Linked DNA regions of Coturnix japonica. The protein of the gene in region 1 interacts with the protein of each later gene in a biochemical or structural test. Links are inferred from orthologs where the notes say so. Each region holds a gene or a part of one and is shown in the gene's direction. Other genes may lie near its edges.

Region 1 (3,745 bases):
AAAGGCCACCACCTTCCCTTTGCCTCTTTTTGCAGCTGTATTACAGTGGCTAATTCACAGCAACACCTCTGCATGTGGGGAAGGAAGCACCTTGAGCTAAACTTATAGAAAGAACAACACATCACATACCATTTTCTTATATAAAAATCAGGAAGAAAATGTAGTTGTGATCTCCCTGAAGAGAATGCTTGGAGTGTTTTTACCTTTTCCTATTTTTGGGGGGAAATAATGAATATATAACGTACAAATGATTGTGCAGTATTAATGTTAAAGGTGTCCAGGACTGCATAAAGTATATTGGATCGCTGCCATCATAGAACAGAATAGAGTATAAATCACTGTGTGATGGCAAGCAGGACGTCGATAACCCATCGCACAAATTGTTCTCCCAGCATTTCAGGCCTGGTGGAATGGCTTAGCTAAATGTCCAAGTTCCTTGCATCAGTCTAGGGGGAAAATGGCTCTGCGTTTTGTGTAGCATGAAAGTAGCTGATCCTTTTGCCTGGAGAGGTTTATTTGGGAAGAACTACATGTGGCAAGATTTTGGTTTCTTTTGAATCCTCTTTGGTGCAAGAAGTATTACCTAGCAGCCCAGCAGCTTAAGATTTCTTTGATACCAGTTGACTAGGCTCGCATTACGTTCCCACATTTGTGTAGAATATTGATTGAAATGCCTCTGAAACATCAGTGTTGGCAACTTTCTGTTTTATGCTTACCTTTACTTTCTAGTTTTAAGTGAGCAATGTGTCCTTCTGCTTGTTAGTTTGCTCGCTCACCTCTTTAACCATTCCAGGTGTGTTGGAATGTGGTGTTGGACTTCATCGCTGAAGTTCAAGTGCTTGCCTTCCCAATAGAAAGACTTGAGCTCACTGCCTCCTTTAAAATAGACAATGCCTATTTTTAAACAATGTTTTTTAGGTCTGAAAGTTTTTTTCTGCCTTGGAAAGGTATGTGAGATTCATTGCCATTGCAGGCTGTTAGCTGCCTTTGAAAAGTACTCGATCACAGGGGAAAATTGTGCATGCTGAAATTGCTCTCTTCTGTGCAATTCTAACAGTGTTTGTGTACAATCCAGTGATGGGATTTGTGTATTTAAAGCGATGATAATGCTGCTAAATATCTTACGCTTGTAGTGTTTTTCTCATCATTGTTTTTGAAACGAATCCCCAGGAGATGTTTTGAGGCACAACTCCACTTTACCGATGGTTCAAAGAGAAAATGGATGTTGGTTGATTTCGTTTACGGTATCAGTAAAATATTTCATTACTCTGCTGGCAATAACTATCTTGCTCTCAATGTGGCGTGATAACATTTTGTGTTATTTAAATTAAAGGAAAATTGCCAGTAGTGTTCAGAATTACTAGGAAAGAGGAGTGTGTGGGTATGCACAATCATACGCCCATAGCAGGTACCATTCAGCAGCAAAATGCTCTTTTCCAATTTCCTCCTTTGTGGCAGCAAATTTGTAACCGAGATCTTAAAAGCAGATTTACTGTTTAATATATTTCCCATAAGCTTGACTGACGTTAATGAAGGCACAATAAGACAAAGGGAAATAAAAAATTCACTCCGCAGATGAAATTTCGCACGGTATTGTATGAAAGTTAAGCAGCTTTGCTTGATGTATGGAATTCAGACCTGGTTGGGTGCTGGGACCACGAGCTGCAGGTCATAAGGGTCCTGTAAGGGTTACTCATGCAGTCATGGGCAGGTTTGCTCTTCTTCCACGGGCATCACTAACTCGCAGCTCATAGAGTTGGGCTCTCCTGTTAGAGACATCAACTGGCCCACCAGGTTTGCTGTGAACCAAGGAGGCGGGATTGCTTCTGAAGGTTGCTGTGCATTATTTGAGGTTGCTGTGCATTATTTTTTTTTCAGTATTTTTTCTTATTTTACTGCCCTTTTTTCCCTCACCCCAGTGGTTGCTGTAGTGATGTTACCACGTTACACCTTTTGAGGGGAAAAACAGGTTTTTGTTACCCAGAGTTGGCCGAGTCTTGCAATCAAGGAAGTAACCTGCCAAGTCCCATTTCCTCACATAACTGTTTAGGTCTGAAATGTACAAATCCATTATCCAGTTCTCTTTTGCTATGGGAATAATGTGTGTCATTGATACATACTAGATTAACCATTATCACTTTCTTATCCACAGCAGCAACAGAGTTAAAACAGTAGATATTCCATAGCAAATCTTCCTGAAATCTAAGCGCTGTTTGATTTAAGTTGTTTATTTAAGCTGCTTTTTTAAGTTTTACTGAAGGTGATTTAAGTGAATGGAACACTTCTTTCTTAATAGAAAAATCAGGCACTTTAAAATAATGTAATTTTTATAATGGGCTTTCTACCAAGTATTTCAAATCAATCTCATTTTGTAATTAGGTGTTTTTACTTAAGTGCTCCTGCTTTAAATGGCCACAAGGTAATTCAGTAAATCTTACATTTCAGCCTGAAAATCGGGGAATGGCAACATAAAAAGGCCCTTTGATGAAATTTCGAAGTCTGATTTCAGCTAAAGCATGCTGGTAAATAGGGTAAATTGTCTGTGATTTGCTAAAGAAAACAACCACTGCAGTAATGCCTTTCTTATTGTTATGGTAATCTGTTTTTGCTTTAAAAGGGCAAACGCTATGGAAAGAGAAGTAAGGCTGGGTCTTGAAGCACAGCTTACCTCCCTCTTTCAGTATTCCCAATGTCAGAAGTGAAGTTTCCTGCTCTGTACTCTCCTGCTGGGCCCTCACAAGCGCTGAGCAGCGTCCTCCCTCTCTGATGGGTGGTGCAGTCTCACTGGGACAGCGTTTTCCTTTTCTTTGCAGACCAGCCTGGCTCACCGACTGGTGAATCGCGAAGGCTCCGTAACGCAGCTTCCACTCTACACGTCTCCTTCTTTGCCCAACATCACACTAGGACTGCCTGCCACCGGCCCTTCCAGTGTAAGTGATGGGGAACATGGGCTTTGAATTGGTGCTTGATTTCTCCTTTAACCCACACTGACATCACCTGGGTGTTTGCAGGGAGGATCCGCGCAGCAGGATGCTGAGAGACTTGCTATCCCAGCCTTGCAGCAGCGGATCTCTTTATTTCCTGGCACCCACCTCACTCCCTACTTGAGCACTACAGCGTTGGAAAGAGATGGGGGAACCACACACAACCCTCTTCTGCAGCACATGGTCTTACTGGAGCAGCCAACTGCACAAACTCCCTTAGTCACAGGTGAGCACATGGTAGATAATGTGCAAAGCCTGACATGCAGTACCTTGAACATTATCAATGTGTTTCGTAGGTTTAACTTACACATTTGTAGGCTCTCCAATGTATATGATGGGTAGTTTCCAGCTAGAGTAGCCACATCATCCATAGGCAGGAGGAAGATGCCTTGTCATTTTGACAGAATGAAATTAAATAGCGTGTACTTTCAGGCTTACGCTTTTCTTCTGCATGCAACAATTTAAAGAGTATCTTTGGAGTTCTGGCCACTGTAAATAGGCAACAAAAATGTTGTGTCTTGTGATTGCCCTTCCTGTTGATCACTGATGGTTTCTGTTCCAGGTAAAACAGAAGCATGCATTTAGAAAATCACAGATTAAAATACTGGCTTTTTATGGTTATTACAAATAGCAAAAATGTGGCAAAACCAACTGTGTTCCACCAGATTGTATTTGTTTGTATATGTTACATTTGCAGCATGTTAATTGCTTTGAATCACTCCCTGTGTCATGTTTTCAGAATTAAGTACCTGTGGGAAGGC
Region 2 (4,176 bases), on another chromosome or scaffold:
AACAAAGGAAATTGATATAAACTCCCATCACCCTTCCAAAAGAGTTCTAACAGCAAAGACATCTTTTTCAGAATATAGTTAACCACTTCAAGCTTTAAATACAGTCTCTAACACTAGTAGAAGTTTCTCTCACGAGTGCATAACAACCTGAATATACATACCTCAGTAATAAAACTTCTTAATCAGAGTGTGTGGATGTGGTCATTTAACACCATTAGGTTGGGGAGCACCATCATTCTGCTCTTACACTCCTCTTCCTCAGAAGGATGGGGAGGAGATGTGAAAAACTTTCATGTGTTAAGGTAAGGACAGGGATATCAGTCACCAGCTACTGTCAAAGCAAAGCAGACTGGAAGTGTGAGAACTGAAAGCCAACTGAAAACACTACCTTCCTTGCCCGCTCTCTTCTATTTCCCCACCCTGTGAGTGGCGCAGGGGAACTGGGAGTGGGGCTGCAGTCTGTAATGCTTCGTCCCTGCTGCTCCTCCATGGTTTCTCTCTGCCCCTCCTCCACATGGGGTCCCTCCATCCTTCTCAAACTGATGCCTCATGGCCTTCCCACAGGCTGCAGCTCTCCAAGCACTGCCCCAGCACAGCTCTGTACCACAGGGCCCACCCTTCAGGCACTGCTCCACATGGGTCCCCATCAGCAGCAGCTCCCCCAGCCTTCCTGCCCCACCACAGGCTTCACCCCACAGGTTGCAGCTTCAGATGCAGCTGCTCCTGCAGGGGCTCCCCATGTGCTGTGGCTCCTCCAGGCCTCATCCACTGCTGCACCATGGGCTCCTCCATGGCTGCACATGGAGATCTGCTTCGTATGGTACCTGTGGGCTGCAGGAGGATGCCCTGCTCCTCCATGGGCCTCTCCTGGGCTGCAGGCAGCTTTTGTTGAGCAAACCGGTTGTGGCTTTGGGGTCTGATAACCTTTCCTGTTAACATTCAGATCCATTTCTCTCTCCAGGAGGGAATGTTTCAAGAGAGATTTATCTCTCCTGTGTTTCTCAGGCCAAACGTTAGCAGGTGAATAGTACCTAAGCTGTGCTACAGAAGCGCAAATATACTAATGTGTACAAGGAAGAACCCGAGGAATGTAGCAAATGACCTCAAATTCTTTGCCAAGTGAAGGATTTTGTACTTGTTTTTAGTGATGTCATGTATATAGTTTTACATTGCTTCCTGTGCATGTACTTCAGCATGTGGACCAGAAGTCTGCCAGACCACTTTGTGGTCATATACGTGTCCTGGTTTGTTCTTGGGGCTGCCCGTTGCTTTATTTTCATCCTCTTTTTCTTGTTTCTTCACCAGGTTCATCCATAAAATTCCAAAATAAGTGTGTCTAAACTCCAAGGCTCACCTCACAGCAGTTTATAGAGCTGTGCGAATGCATGGGAGACTTCAGATGGCCTAAGTGGACATCATTCTGTGGCTGTGGAAAGGGGTGATCCTACAGTTCCAAGCCACCAGTGGTGCAGCAGTAGCATTTTTATGGTAATGTAATGAGTTAAGTCATTCATTGGGCTGAAAACTAACACAAACTAACATAAAGCTTTGCTTCTGGCTATGAGGTCACAGATATACCAGTGCTGGCATCAGGGGGTGCAGGCAGGAGCAGACCTCAAACTTGTGTTCAGCCTGTAGAAGGCCCTGGGGTGCTCTCATTGCAACCTTCCAGTAAATGGAAGCTTCTAAACAGGAGGGAGGCTAACTTTTGACATGCTCTGATAGCGATGGGAAAAGACTGAACAATTTTAAAGAGGAGAGATTTAGATTAGGTGTTAGGGGGAAAGTCTTTCCTCAGAGGGTGGTGAGGTGTTGGAACAGGTTGCCCAGAGAATTTGTGGGTGCCCCATCGCTGGAGGTATTAAGGACCGAGCAGGATTTAGCCCTGGGCAGCCTGAGCCAGTGGGGGACAGCACTGCCCATGGCAGAGGAGTTGGAGCTGGGTGGGCTTGAAAATGGTCCCTTCCTGCGAAGCTGTTCTGTAATTCCACTTAAGAAAACATCTGTTGGAATACAGTATCACAGCATCACAGTCTCACAGTCTTGTGCAGGTTGGAAGGGACCTTAGAGATCATCGAGTCCAACCCCCGGGATTTGAGCCCCTGTGTAGCAGAGCGGCACTTCTACCACTTGCGCCACAGGGGGGATTCAAACCGGGCATCAGCAGGCTTGAAAATCTTTCCTAGTGGTTGTTTTGCAGCTCACTGTATGTGTGAGTGCTTTAATAGAGCACTCCTGCAAAGATATTGGTACTGATTAGATTTTCTAAGGAGAGAATGCTTTTCAACGTAAGGTTTAGTCTTAGATGTTTTATGTATCTACCTGTCATCTTCTCAATTTAATGAATTAATGAATTAATTTAAGAGTTCATTGGGATAGTAGATAGTTCCTAGAAGTGCTAGCAAAGTTAAAGGGGGAAAATCGATTATACTTGTTATATGTACAGCTTTCCTACATATATAACTACTTCTATTAACACTTTGTCTGCAACGTAAAAGCTATATAATTCAAATATATTCTGTATTTGAAACAAATATTGTGTATAGATAAATCCTTTAATGTAAGAGTACTGTCTTGCCTTGTATAAGTGTTCCTAATACAACTTGTGTCAGAAAATGAAGTGTAGTGCTTCATAATTTGTGTCTGTTCCTTTCACAAACTGCCTAATGAATATCTGGACATAGATGCCCAGACAAACAATGCATACATCTGGATACTTAATGCTGCATTACAGCAGTAATGTATTAAATCCTAGAAAAACCTTCTCATGAAGATCTGGACTTCTTACCCTGCAACCGTAATACTGATGCTAAGTGTAGAATTGGCCTTCAGACACTCTTACTTGCACAAATGGATCCGTGTGTATTTAGAAGTTAAATTTTTTGCCCTTGATTTGCATCAACAAAATTGGCCAGGTTCTAGTTTTAAGGTGTTAATTATGTCCCTGCTAATGTCAGGGCCAATAATAACCTTCTGTTCTCAGGGAGTTCATTATTTTGTTGCTCTTTGTGAGAATAGTGAGGGAAAATGTGAGTTGAGTACAAAGATACAGAAGGTTGCAAATAGGAGATAATTTATTACTTTCACAGTATAATTAAGCTTCACATTTTTGCAGGGATGTCACCTGCAGACAATTATGAGTGTGATTTACGTCTATGGACCCTATTTTCCCGAAGGTGTTTTTTATTAGAAAGGCTGTAGATGTTAAGCATCTTCTTTCCTTTTTTTGTTTTTTGACAGGAAATTCTGGTGATTAACAGTCATGGCAACCATAGAGGAACTGGCCCATCAAATTATTGAGCAGCAAATGGGAGAGGTACAGAATTTTTTCATCATATTTAGGAGGCATTGAATAATAAAATGGACAGAGTAAGATGTAAAAATCCAGGTCCCAAGAGAAAGTAATTCTTAGTACACTCCAAGCTTCAGGAGACCCTCACATGGAAGATGAACTTATTGATTACCATCAAAGTTGTCATTATATAGATGTTACATTCCAGTTACAGAATTCATTCGTTGTCACTTTTGTTCTTATAAGTAAAGGCTTGCTGTGGTCTGCATTGTAAAATATTGGTTGACATTTGGTGTAAGTCAGAGGGAAACTGAACTCTTTCTGTTGGCTCCTGTTTTTCATTTCCTTTAACCTATATACAAAGTGTGCATACTGCAGCTAAAGAACTTCCAGAGATGCACAAGCAGTTTGGAAGTGTGAATCAGTGTATACATACTTAACTAGAACATTCGATCATTAGCAGCGCTTTAAATTAGATAAAAGCAGAAAACAACATTTATTAGCTTGAAATATCCACTCTTGGTTCCCTGTCTAGTACTGTGGATAGGATAAGATTGCACGTAATTTTAGTTCCTCTCGGTCTTGATTTCAAATGTAACAGCTGGGGACATGCAGGATGGTAAATCTGTTCTGTATAAATTCTTACGCTTTTCAGTATTGTAGCATCTGAGAACTACTAAGGTAGTTGTAATTTTTTTTCTTTCTCTCCCTTTTCCTCTTTACAGGGGGGAATGGTGTGTGTAGCGTAGCTTTGTTTGGTAGGATAAGTCCTTGGGGAAGCCTAGGTGGGGCTGTAATTCCTGTTTCTTGTGTTTTGGAAACTGGGGATTAGTCGAAGCTGGCTGAAGCATGTGTTCCAGTTGCAGAGGAGGATGGCAAGTTTA
Region 3 (4,029 bases), on another chromosome or scaffold:
ACAGAGTAAATGCATCCCTCCATTGAAATGACCGGCAGTGTCGGTTCACAGCACAGACCTAATGCCCACATGCCTCATCACAGCCCTATCTGAACACAGACAGGAGCACTCCGAGCTGAGACGACAACATCCTGAGGTGATTCAGAGCATTCATCATCCCTTCAGGATGCTGGAGTAGCAGGACATGACTAAATTTGGTGATGCTGGAAGCAAAGGTGAGGGATTTCACTGCTTCACGTAGACACTGTGCTGTTTGAAGGGAGGTTTGAGCCTGAGGCCTTTAGGACCAATGGACATCGATGGTTACTGATGTCAGCGCGGGTCGCTCCCCGCTCAGGGCCCCACGGCACAGCGCCATTAACTCTTCACGAGCAATTTCCTGTCACCGGGCTCCTGGGGCACAGCTCACAGAATGACCCGGGTTGGAAGGGACCTCAAGGATCATGTAGTTCCAACCCCCCTGCCTGGCAGGGCCACCAAACATACACCTTTACTAGATCAGGTTGCCCAGGGCCCCGTCCAACCTGGTCTTGAACACCTCCAAGGACGGGGCATCCACAACCTCCCTGGGCAGCCTGTTCCAGGACCTAACCACTCTCCTAGTGAAGAACTTCCCCCTAACATCCAACCTAAATCTTCCCTCTCTCTGAAATCTCTCGCCCGACCGAGCGGCGGCACAAAGGCAGCATTCCTGACAGGAGACAACGCGCCGGGAGGGCGCCGGGCAGCCCAGCCCGCAGCCCAGCCTCGGCACCACGCACTGTGTCCTCCCACAGCCGCCCTACGGAGGGGGCACCGAGCCCGCCCCGCACGGCCCCATGGCGACACAGCCAGGGAGCTAAAGCACGGGCAGCCCCCACAGCACGGGCAGCCCCCACAGCACGGGCAGCCCCCACAGCACGGGCAGCCCCCACAGCACGGGCAGCCCCCGCCGGCCGCCCCCGCCCGTTCCCGCGCCGTGTCGGTGCCGACCCACCGTGGTGGAGCGGGGGTTGGGCGGGGGGGGGGTTGTAGCAGTATCGCCATGGCGACAGTGACGTCATCTCACCCTGGATCTAATTGGAGGAAACCCCGTGGCCCCAGCCGCAGCCCACGGGCCAACCGAGCTCGCGCCCTGCCCGCGCTCGCCCCCGCGGCGGCGCGCTGCCCTCGGATTGGCCGGCGGGGAGCGGAGGGGCGGGGCCTGGCTCGCAGGAGAGGCCGCGATTGGCCGCGTGGGCGCGGGCCGAGCGGCGGGTAGGCTCGGCCGTGCCAACGCCCTTTAGCGCTGGCTCTCGCCCGCTTCGGGAGCGGCTCTTTCTCTCCGCCACATCCCGAGCGAGGCGCAGCCGATCGGGTGCGGCCCGGCCCGGCCTAGCGCAGCGCAGCGCAGCGGACTCAGGTGAGCGCGGCGTGGGCCGCTTCCCGCCGGCCGTGCCGCCGTGCCCCGCCTCGGCGCCGCGTCCTCCATTTTGTGAGCGCGGCGTGGAGCGCTCGGCGGTGCCGGGTTGCGGAACGAGCCGCCGGGCGGCGCCGCCATTTCGTACCCGCCGGGGCTTCGTCCTCCGCGCCCGGCCACGCTCGTCCCGCTCCGCCGCCCCCCGCTTCGCGGTCCCCGGGGACGAGGCCAACGCGGAGCCGCCGGGCCCCGACCCCACCCAGCGGCCGGGAATGGAGGGGCTCCGTGCCGGGGCCGGGGCCGCTCCCGCCGGGGGGATGGTCCCGCCTCGCCCCGCCGCCAGGAGGCGAAGCGGCCCGAGCTGCCCGCCCGGCCCCGCCCGGCCCCGGCGTTGTCTCCAGCCCCGCTGAGCTGCGGCCTCAGCTCCGAGCGCGCTGTTCTCCTTTCTTTCTTTTTAAATAGCTTTTTTTTCTGTTTCCTCCTTTTTCTTTGCCCTCCCCTGCGGGGTGAAGGCACGTGGGGAAGGCCCTCGGGCTGCCTGGGAGCTGGGTGTCCTGCTGTGCGGCTCCATTGAGCAGCTCTTAAGTGTGTTGGCACAGTAAGGACAAAAGCCGCTGTGGTACGTTGGTACGACTGCCCGGTGCTCGGTCCTCTGGCCGAGGGACTGTGACCCATCCCCGGCTGGGTTTCTGGGCTGTTGCTTCCCCAGGGTGGGCCCGGTACCAGTGCCTGCTTCTGCCCAAGGGAGGGACGGTGCCAGTGCTGCGCCATGGGATGTACTTGGGAATGGGGAGCTCCCTACAGTCCCAGTAAGGGGGCTGCAAGGACACCATCCACAGCGTTGGCTCCTGGAGTCACGGTTGCTGTCCTTCTCCTGGCAGGCTCTGAGGCTCGTTCTCTTGCTGGCAGAGTGACGTCCTCAGCTTCTCCTGCCTTTGCTACAACACTGCCCTCGTCCTGCCGCCGGCCACCATGGATAAGACCGAGTTGATCCAGAAAGCCAAGCTGGCGGAGCAGGCTGAGCGCTATGACGACATGGCCACCTGCATGAAGGCGGTGACGGAACAGGGGGCTGAGCTGTCCAACGAGGAGCGCAACCTGCTCTCGGTGGCCTACAAGAATGTGGTGGGGGGGCGACGCTCTGCCTGGAGGGTTATCTCCAGCATCGAGCAAAAGACAGACACCAGCGACAAGAAGATGCAGCTTATCAAGGACTATAGGGAGAAGGTGGAGTCTGAGCTCAGGTCCATCTGCACCACGGTGCTGGTGAGTGGGGCCTTTCCTTTTTCCGTGTTTTATCAAAAGAGAGAAGCGGGATGCTGCTGTTTTGAGGAGGGTGGGAAATGGGCTGGGCACTATGTGAGCTATTATGCTGGAGTGGGTAGTTCAGTAACTTTTGCAGCTGCCATATTGGTTACTTTGAGACAGAAAATCATCTGCACTTTGCTGCGGGTGCTGTATATGCAGAAGTAATCGAGGTGTGCTAAGCTGTGTTTGAGATGCACATCTGATGGAGTTACCTGTGTGCAGTACTACGCTAGCTGAGCACAGAGATGCAGGGAATTTAGGCTTGTGCTTTGGTTTGTAAGCTAATCTTCACAAGGTAAGCTGAAAAGAAAATGAAAGCCCTTTATTTCTGAAGGTTGGTGCTAGTAACCTGTTAAATGCATTTAAATTAATGGCGTTCATTTAATGTGCTGCTTCATGTGAGGAAAAACACTCTTTAAAGGCCTTAAAGAGGCATTTTTTAGATTTTCTTTCCTAGGTAATAAGGTATGATTTCATAAAGGAAGACATCTTCCTTGAAAGTAGGAAAGAAAAAGGTAGAAATCTGCTTTGTCACACTCAAGTTGATTTAGTGGGGGCTGTTAAAAGTGAATTTGCAGTTATTTTGGACTAATGCACAACTGTGGCTTGGAAACAGGATATTCCATGACAGGTATTGTGCACCTGGGCATGTTTCAAAGCCCAGCAATATATTTCCATGTGAGGAGCAGAATTCCAGATGCTGTTGATGGTGAAGCAGCATTGCAGTGCAGCAGGAGCTCCACAGACCTGTGTCAGCAACATGGGAAGTGTGCAAGCCTGTTGTGTGTGATCAGGGTCTACTGACTGCAGGAAGCTGTGTGTGTGTAGTGCAGTGCTGATGGTGTGGCATGTCATCTTCAGTGGTTAAGCTGTGTATTTTTGATGTCTAGTATTGCAAGCATGAGAAAGGAAGTGAGTAAGGAAATAAACAGTTTTTGATTTAACCCTGAATCGGGTTAGGAGACCTGAGGTTAAAGATGGCTGGTTTGGAAGTAATGGATTTTGCATCTTGAGAAGTGTTTTGGCTCATGTACAAGGGTGCTTTGGATTGTATTGAAAATACTGTGTGCTTCCTCACATGCTGCCTCCTGGATTCGTTTCTAACTGTGAGTCAGAGGCCTTCTATAAAATCACAGAATCACAGAATGACCCGGGTTGGAAGGGACCTCAAGAAACAAGCAAGTCCAACCCCCCTGCCTGGCAGGGCCACCAAACATACACCTTTACTAGATCAGGTTGCCCAGGGCCCCGTCCAACCTGGCCTTGAACACCTCCAAGGATGGGGCATCCACAACCTCCCTGGGCAGCCTGTTCCAGGGCCTAACCACTCTCCTAGTAAAGAA
Region 4 (3,963 bases), on another chromosome or scaffold:
GCCAGGGCCTGGGCTGGGAGTATGGCTGCATGTAACAGCGTGCGCCTTGGCGGCGGGTGTGGAAGCAGCCACATTTGGGAAGGGTTTTAGGCACGTTGTAATGATTTCCAACTTCGGACTGTGAAGAATGCTGCCGTTACCACCATCAGCAGCTCTTCACCTGCTGCTGCTGCTTTGGCTTTAAATATTTTGGACAGAAATCTTATGGATGAAATGTCTATAAAACCAGATGCGTTGATACTTCAGCCGCACCATTTCCCACACACAGCCGCTTTACCCCACTCTCAGCACGGCTCTCAGTGACACGACAGCGGCATTCCCAGCCCTTCTAACCGAGCACGGTGCACGCTCCGTGTTGGGACCCCCGCTGTCGTCCAACCCTCCTCCGGTGCTGCGGAGCCGCCCTTCCCCGCTGCAGGACCGAGCCCAAGGTCACAGCCCCCGAGCCCACCCCGCGCTGCGGAGCCCCGGGAGGAGAAGAAGGAGGAGAAGGAGGAGGAGGAGGAGGTGGGGGGGGTGTCGCGCGGTCCCGCTTCCCTCCGGCTGCCGCCGCGCGCGCCCCCGAGCACGGCCGCCCCCCCGCCCCCGCGGGGCGGTTGTTGACGTCAGCGGTCGCCGAGGAACGGGCCGCAGGTGCATCCGTTTCCTCGGGGCCGGCGGCGCCTCCCGCCTCCGTGCCGGGTGCGGATCGAATCGGATCGGCCCTTCGCGCGGCCGTTCCCCGAGCGCGGAGCCCCCCTTGCCAGAGCGGCCCCGACGGGCGGCGGCAGAGAGCCGCGACGGGGCGGCCGCGAGCGCTGGGCTCGTATCGCTAGGGGGAGGCACGGCACCGGGAATCGGCGCGGAGCGAGGCAAGGCGGCCCCGCTGCCCGCGGGCTCGGGAGAACGTAGGGCCGGGGCGCCCCGTCGCCGGCTGCCGCGCCGCGCCCCCCGGCCCGGTTTTGCTTTCCCTTTCGGTGCCGCCTCTCCGCCGCGACGTTTTATTTATTTATTTTCCCAGAGGGTGGGGACGAGGGGAGGGGAGAGACTCGCCGCGGGGACGAGCCGCCTGGCGGGGAGGAGGCGGCCCCGACACGAGAGGCGGCGGCGGCGGCGGCGGGGAGGGGAGAGACTCGCCGCGGGGACGAGCCGCCTGGCGGGGAGGAGGCGGCCCCGACACGAGAGGCGGCGGCGGCGGCGGCGGCGGGGAGGAGAAGCCGGCGCGGAGCCGCTCCTCGCATCGCCTCGCCCACCCCGCAGCCCCTCCGCCGCCTCGCCTCCCCTGGCCGCCGGAGGCACCGGCGGCCGCCCGTCCCCATGATGGCCTCAACCGCCACCTGCACCCGCTTCACCGACGAGTACCAGCTCTACGAGGAGCTCGGCAAGTAAGTACGGGGCCGCTCCGGGGACGAGGGGGGAGAGGAGGGAAACACTGAGAGTCGGGGGGGCTCCGTCCCCGCGGGTTGGGGTGTGCGGGGCGATGCCTGCAGCCCTGCCTCGTCCCCGGGCGTCGCTTCAAGGCTGAGACTCGGTCCGTGAGCACAGCTCCGGGTGGGCGGCAATCCCTGCGGGTGCTGCGGGCGGTGACGGGCTGCCCTGCTGCCGGGCTGCCCTGCCGGCGGCAGCCGGAGCTCGCTACCCCCGACACGACCGCGGCCGGTTCGTCGGGCGCCCCCCTGCGTTGGGGCGCGTATCCCCGATCGCCATGTTGGCACGGACACGGGGACCCGGGGCCGCAACGTGCCGCCGCCGGGAGAGCGCTTCGGTCGCACCGCTCGAAACAGCGGCTCTGAGCAGCGTTTTGCTGTTGCGTTGATTAAAATGAGCGCTGACCGTCTCTGACAAGCCTCCCTTCTTCTTACAATTTATTTTTCTTATTATCCCGTTCCCTCCCCCCCTTAATTCTTTGGGCATCGTTCCGCTCCTTTAGATGTGTGGCAGCGCGGTGGTAATGGCAGGGCGCTGTTCGGGTGGCACTGACGCTCTGTCCCCTCTTGGCTTGCAGAGGAGCGTTCTCGGTCGTGAGGCGATGTATGAAAATCACCACAGGACAGGAGTATGCTGCCAAAATCATCAACACCAAAAAGCTCTCGGCCAGGGGTGGGTATATTCCATATATTCCAACCGAGCGTTTACGATATCTTCTCCTCATTTCTTGCATTCTTGTGGCGAGCGTTAAAACGGAGCACAGAATAATAAGAATTAAGGTTATTAATTTTCTCAGTAATTTTCTTCATTTCCTTTCAGGCAGTGGTTCTTTTTTATGCTAAACGTTTCAGAGGTTAACCGTATGGAGGGCTGTGTTGCTGTACCTTAAAGGGAAGCTTTATGAAGTGATTTAAATGAGTGCATCCTCTTCCCGTTTTTACATTGGAAAAACTGGAAAGGATTGTACACTCTGATTTTTTTAGGGGAAGGCTGGGAAACAAGTTGACATTGCGGCTTTTATCATAAATATGTGTTTTCTTTTCTGAATTCAAAGTTTCCATTGCATTTAAACTGAAACGTGAAAAAGGCCTATTTGAATCCGTGGAGAAGAGTGTGATGCCCCCTCCTGTACTGAACTTTGTGATGAGATCCCGGGGAAAGGGAAAATTCCTTTTTTGAAGCGTCCATTTGTGAACACAAGTCATTCTGAATGACACATTGTGTCACAGCTCCAGCCCAGCATTAATGCCTGCTGCACCGCATGCTTAGGTTTTACTGTAACATGTTTGTTTCCCTTATGTTCTGCCTGTCAGTGGGAAGTCGTGGTGATACATTTGGGTGGTCACGTGTGTGCTGTAGGTTACTGCTGTCGGCAGCAAGCCTCAATGGAGATATGTCAATTCCTTGTTAAACCCACGTCAAAGTGATTGTAGGAGGATGTCGAGGATTAGGGATTATTCTCTGTTAACACTACCTGTGTTTTGATGTGAGTTTGTGATATGGTAAAGAATGTGAAAGTGAATAAGCAAGTGGTGTCAGCTCTGTAGTCTTCCTTAGAAGTCATCATTTGAGACATGCTGTTTTTCAGGCTTTCATTTTGTGCTTCCTTGGCTGTTCAGGCAGGACCGAGTTGGTCCTCACTGCAGCCCATTGATGCACCCAGACCTGCTGGGGAGAATTTGGCTGGCAAGGTGGAATGTAGCAAAACTCATGCAAAGAAAAATTTCTGTTGGTTTGAAGTGTAGGCCCATAAAGCAAGGAGTTGGGTTTTCGAGGTTGGTAACTGGGCTGTGAAATATTCTTCCATATGTGAATGAATGTGATGCTGTGTCCACGAATGCAGTGGATCCATTTCCATCTTGGCTTTCAAAGATTCCAGATTTTATTTTATTATTTTAGTTTACATGCACTGCTGTTCTTTAGCTTTTATCTTTTGGAAGACAAATAACAACATCTCAGCAGCTTTTGAAGAGCAAGCTCCTTACAGAGATCCTGGGATTCCTCTTAAGCAATTCTGCAGTTACAAAAGGGTGTTACTTGCAGTGCCTCTGTCTGTGATACTTTAACGTGACTGATACTAAGTATGCAGCTTACAACTCGGACTACATTTCAAGTAGTATCTAAATTATAAGTTTCATTCTCCTCCTGTCTGATCTGCTTTATGATGAGGTAGCAGTTCACTTTGATGTTTCCAGCTTCTCACCTGAAATACAGATCATAATGTAAATCTGAAGGTTATTGGGTGAGCTTCATCTGTGAGCGGTTAGAGGTTCTCAGCTTGCCATGTATCCCATGTACAACCCTGCTTGTCTGTAACTCTGAAGCACTACATCAAATTTGAGCCTTCTTGCTTGCAAGACAGAGTTGCCATTACAGTGTTTTGATGGGGAGGAGTCACGGCTGTTAATCTAAAGGAGAACTCAACATGATTTGAGTTGAAAAATTATTTGACTGTGTCAGCCTTGATACAACAATAATTGTCACTCCAGCCACAAATGATGTTGGAGATTGTTTGGATCCTTCCCTTAGCAGCCCTTCTAAACACAGGGTGATGTC

Evidence for each region.
Region 2: the proteins of HDAC4 (region 1) and NR2C1 form a complex in vitro, tested with the Homo sapiens proteins (2 studies listed by BioGRID). The link is inferred for Coturnix japonica from reciprocal best matches to the Homo sapiens genes HDAC4 and NR2C1.
Region 3: the proteins of HDAC4 (region 1) and YWHAQ are reported together in a solved structure, tested with the Homo sapiens proteins (2 studies listed by BioGRID, with this or other methods). The link is inferred for Coturnix japonica from reciprocal best matches to the Homo sapiens genes HDAC4 and YWHAQ.
Region 4: of the proteins of HDAC4 (region 1) and CAMK2D, one has a biochemical effect on the other in vitro, tested with the Homo sapiens proteins (2 studies listed by BioGRID, with this or other methods). The link is inferred for Coturnix japonica from reciprocal best matches to the Homo sapiens genes HDAC4 and CAMK2D.

Annotation. Positions count from the first base shown.
Region 1 is NC_029522.1:3,010,485-3,014,229, forward strand, and holds part of HDAC4 (histone deacetylase 4), read left to right. Parts: intron 1-2,813; coding exon 2,814-2,930; intron 2,931-3,011; coding exon 3,012-3,210; intron 3,211-3,745. UniProt on the Homo sapiens protein: Responsible for the deacetylation of lysine residues on the N-terminal part of the core histones (H2A, H2B, H3 and H4).
Region 2 is NC_029516.1:41,307,213-41,311,388, reverse strand, and holds the start of NR2C1 (nuclear receptor subfamily 2 group C member 1), read left to right. Parts: upstream 1-1,376; 5' UTR 1,377-1,488; intron 1,489-3,240; 5' UTR 3,241-3,262; coding exon 3,263-3,316; intron 3,317-4,176. UniProt on the Homo sapiens protein: Orphan nuclear receptor. Binds the IR7 element in the promoter of its own gene in an autoregulatory negative feedback mechanism. Primarily repressor of a broad range of genes.
Region 3 is NC_029518.1:87,878,912-87,882,940, reverse strand, and holds the start of YWHAQ (14-3-3 protein theta), read left to right. Parts: upstream 1-1,229; 5' UTR 1,230-1,381; intron 1,382-2,259; 5' UTR 2,260-2,350; coding exon 2,351-2,644; intron 2,645-4,029. UniProt on the Homo sapiens protein: Adapter protein implicated in the regulation of a large spectrum of both general and specialized signaling pathways. Binds to a large number of partners, usually by recognition of a phosphoserine or phosphothreonine motif.
Region 4 is NC_029519.1:50,655,346-50,659,308, forward strand, and holds the start of CAMK2D (calcium/calmodulin-dependent protein kinase type II subunit delta), read left to right. Parts: upstream 1-1,163; 5' UTR 1,164-1,296; coding exon 1,297-1,364; intron 1,365-1,954; exon of another isoform or gene 1,955-1,984; coding exon 1,985-2,079; intron 2,080-3,963. UniProt on the Homo sapiens protein: Calcium/calmodulin-dependent protein kinase involved in the regulation of Ca(2+) homeostatis and excitation-contraction coupling (ECC) in heart by targeting ion channels, transporters and accessory proteins involved in Ca(2+) influx into the myocyte, Ca(2+) release from the sarcoplasmic reticulum (SR), SR Ca(2+) uptake and Na(+) and K(+) channel transport.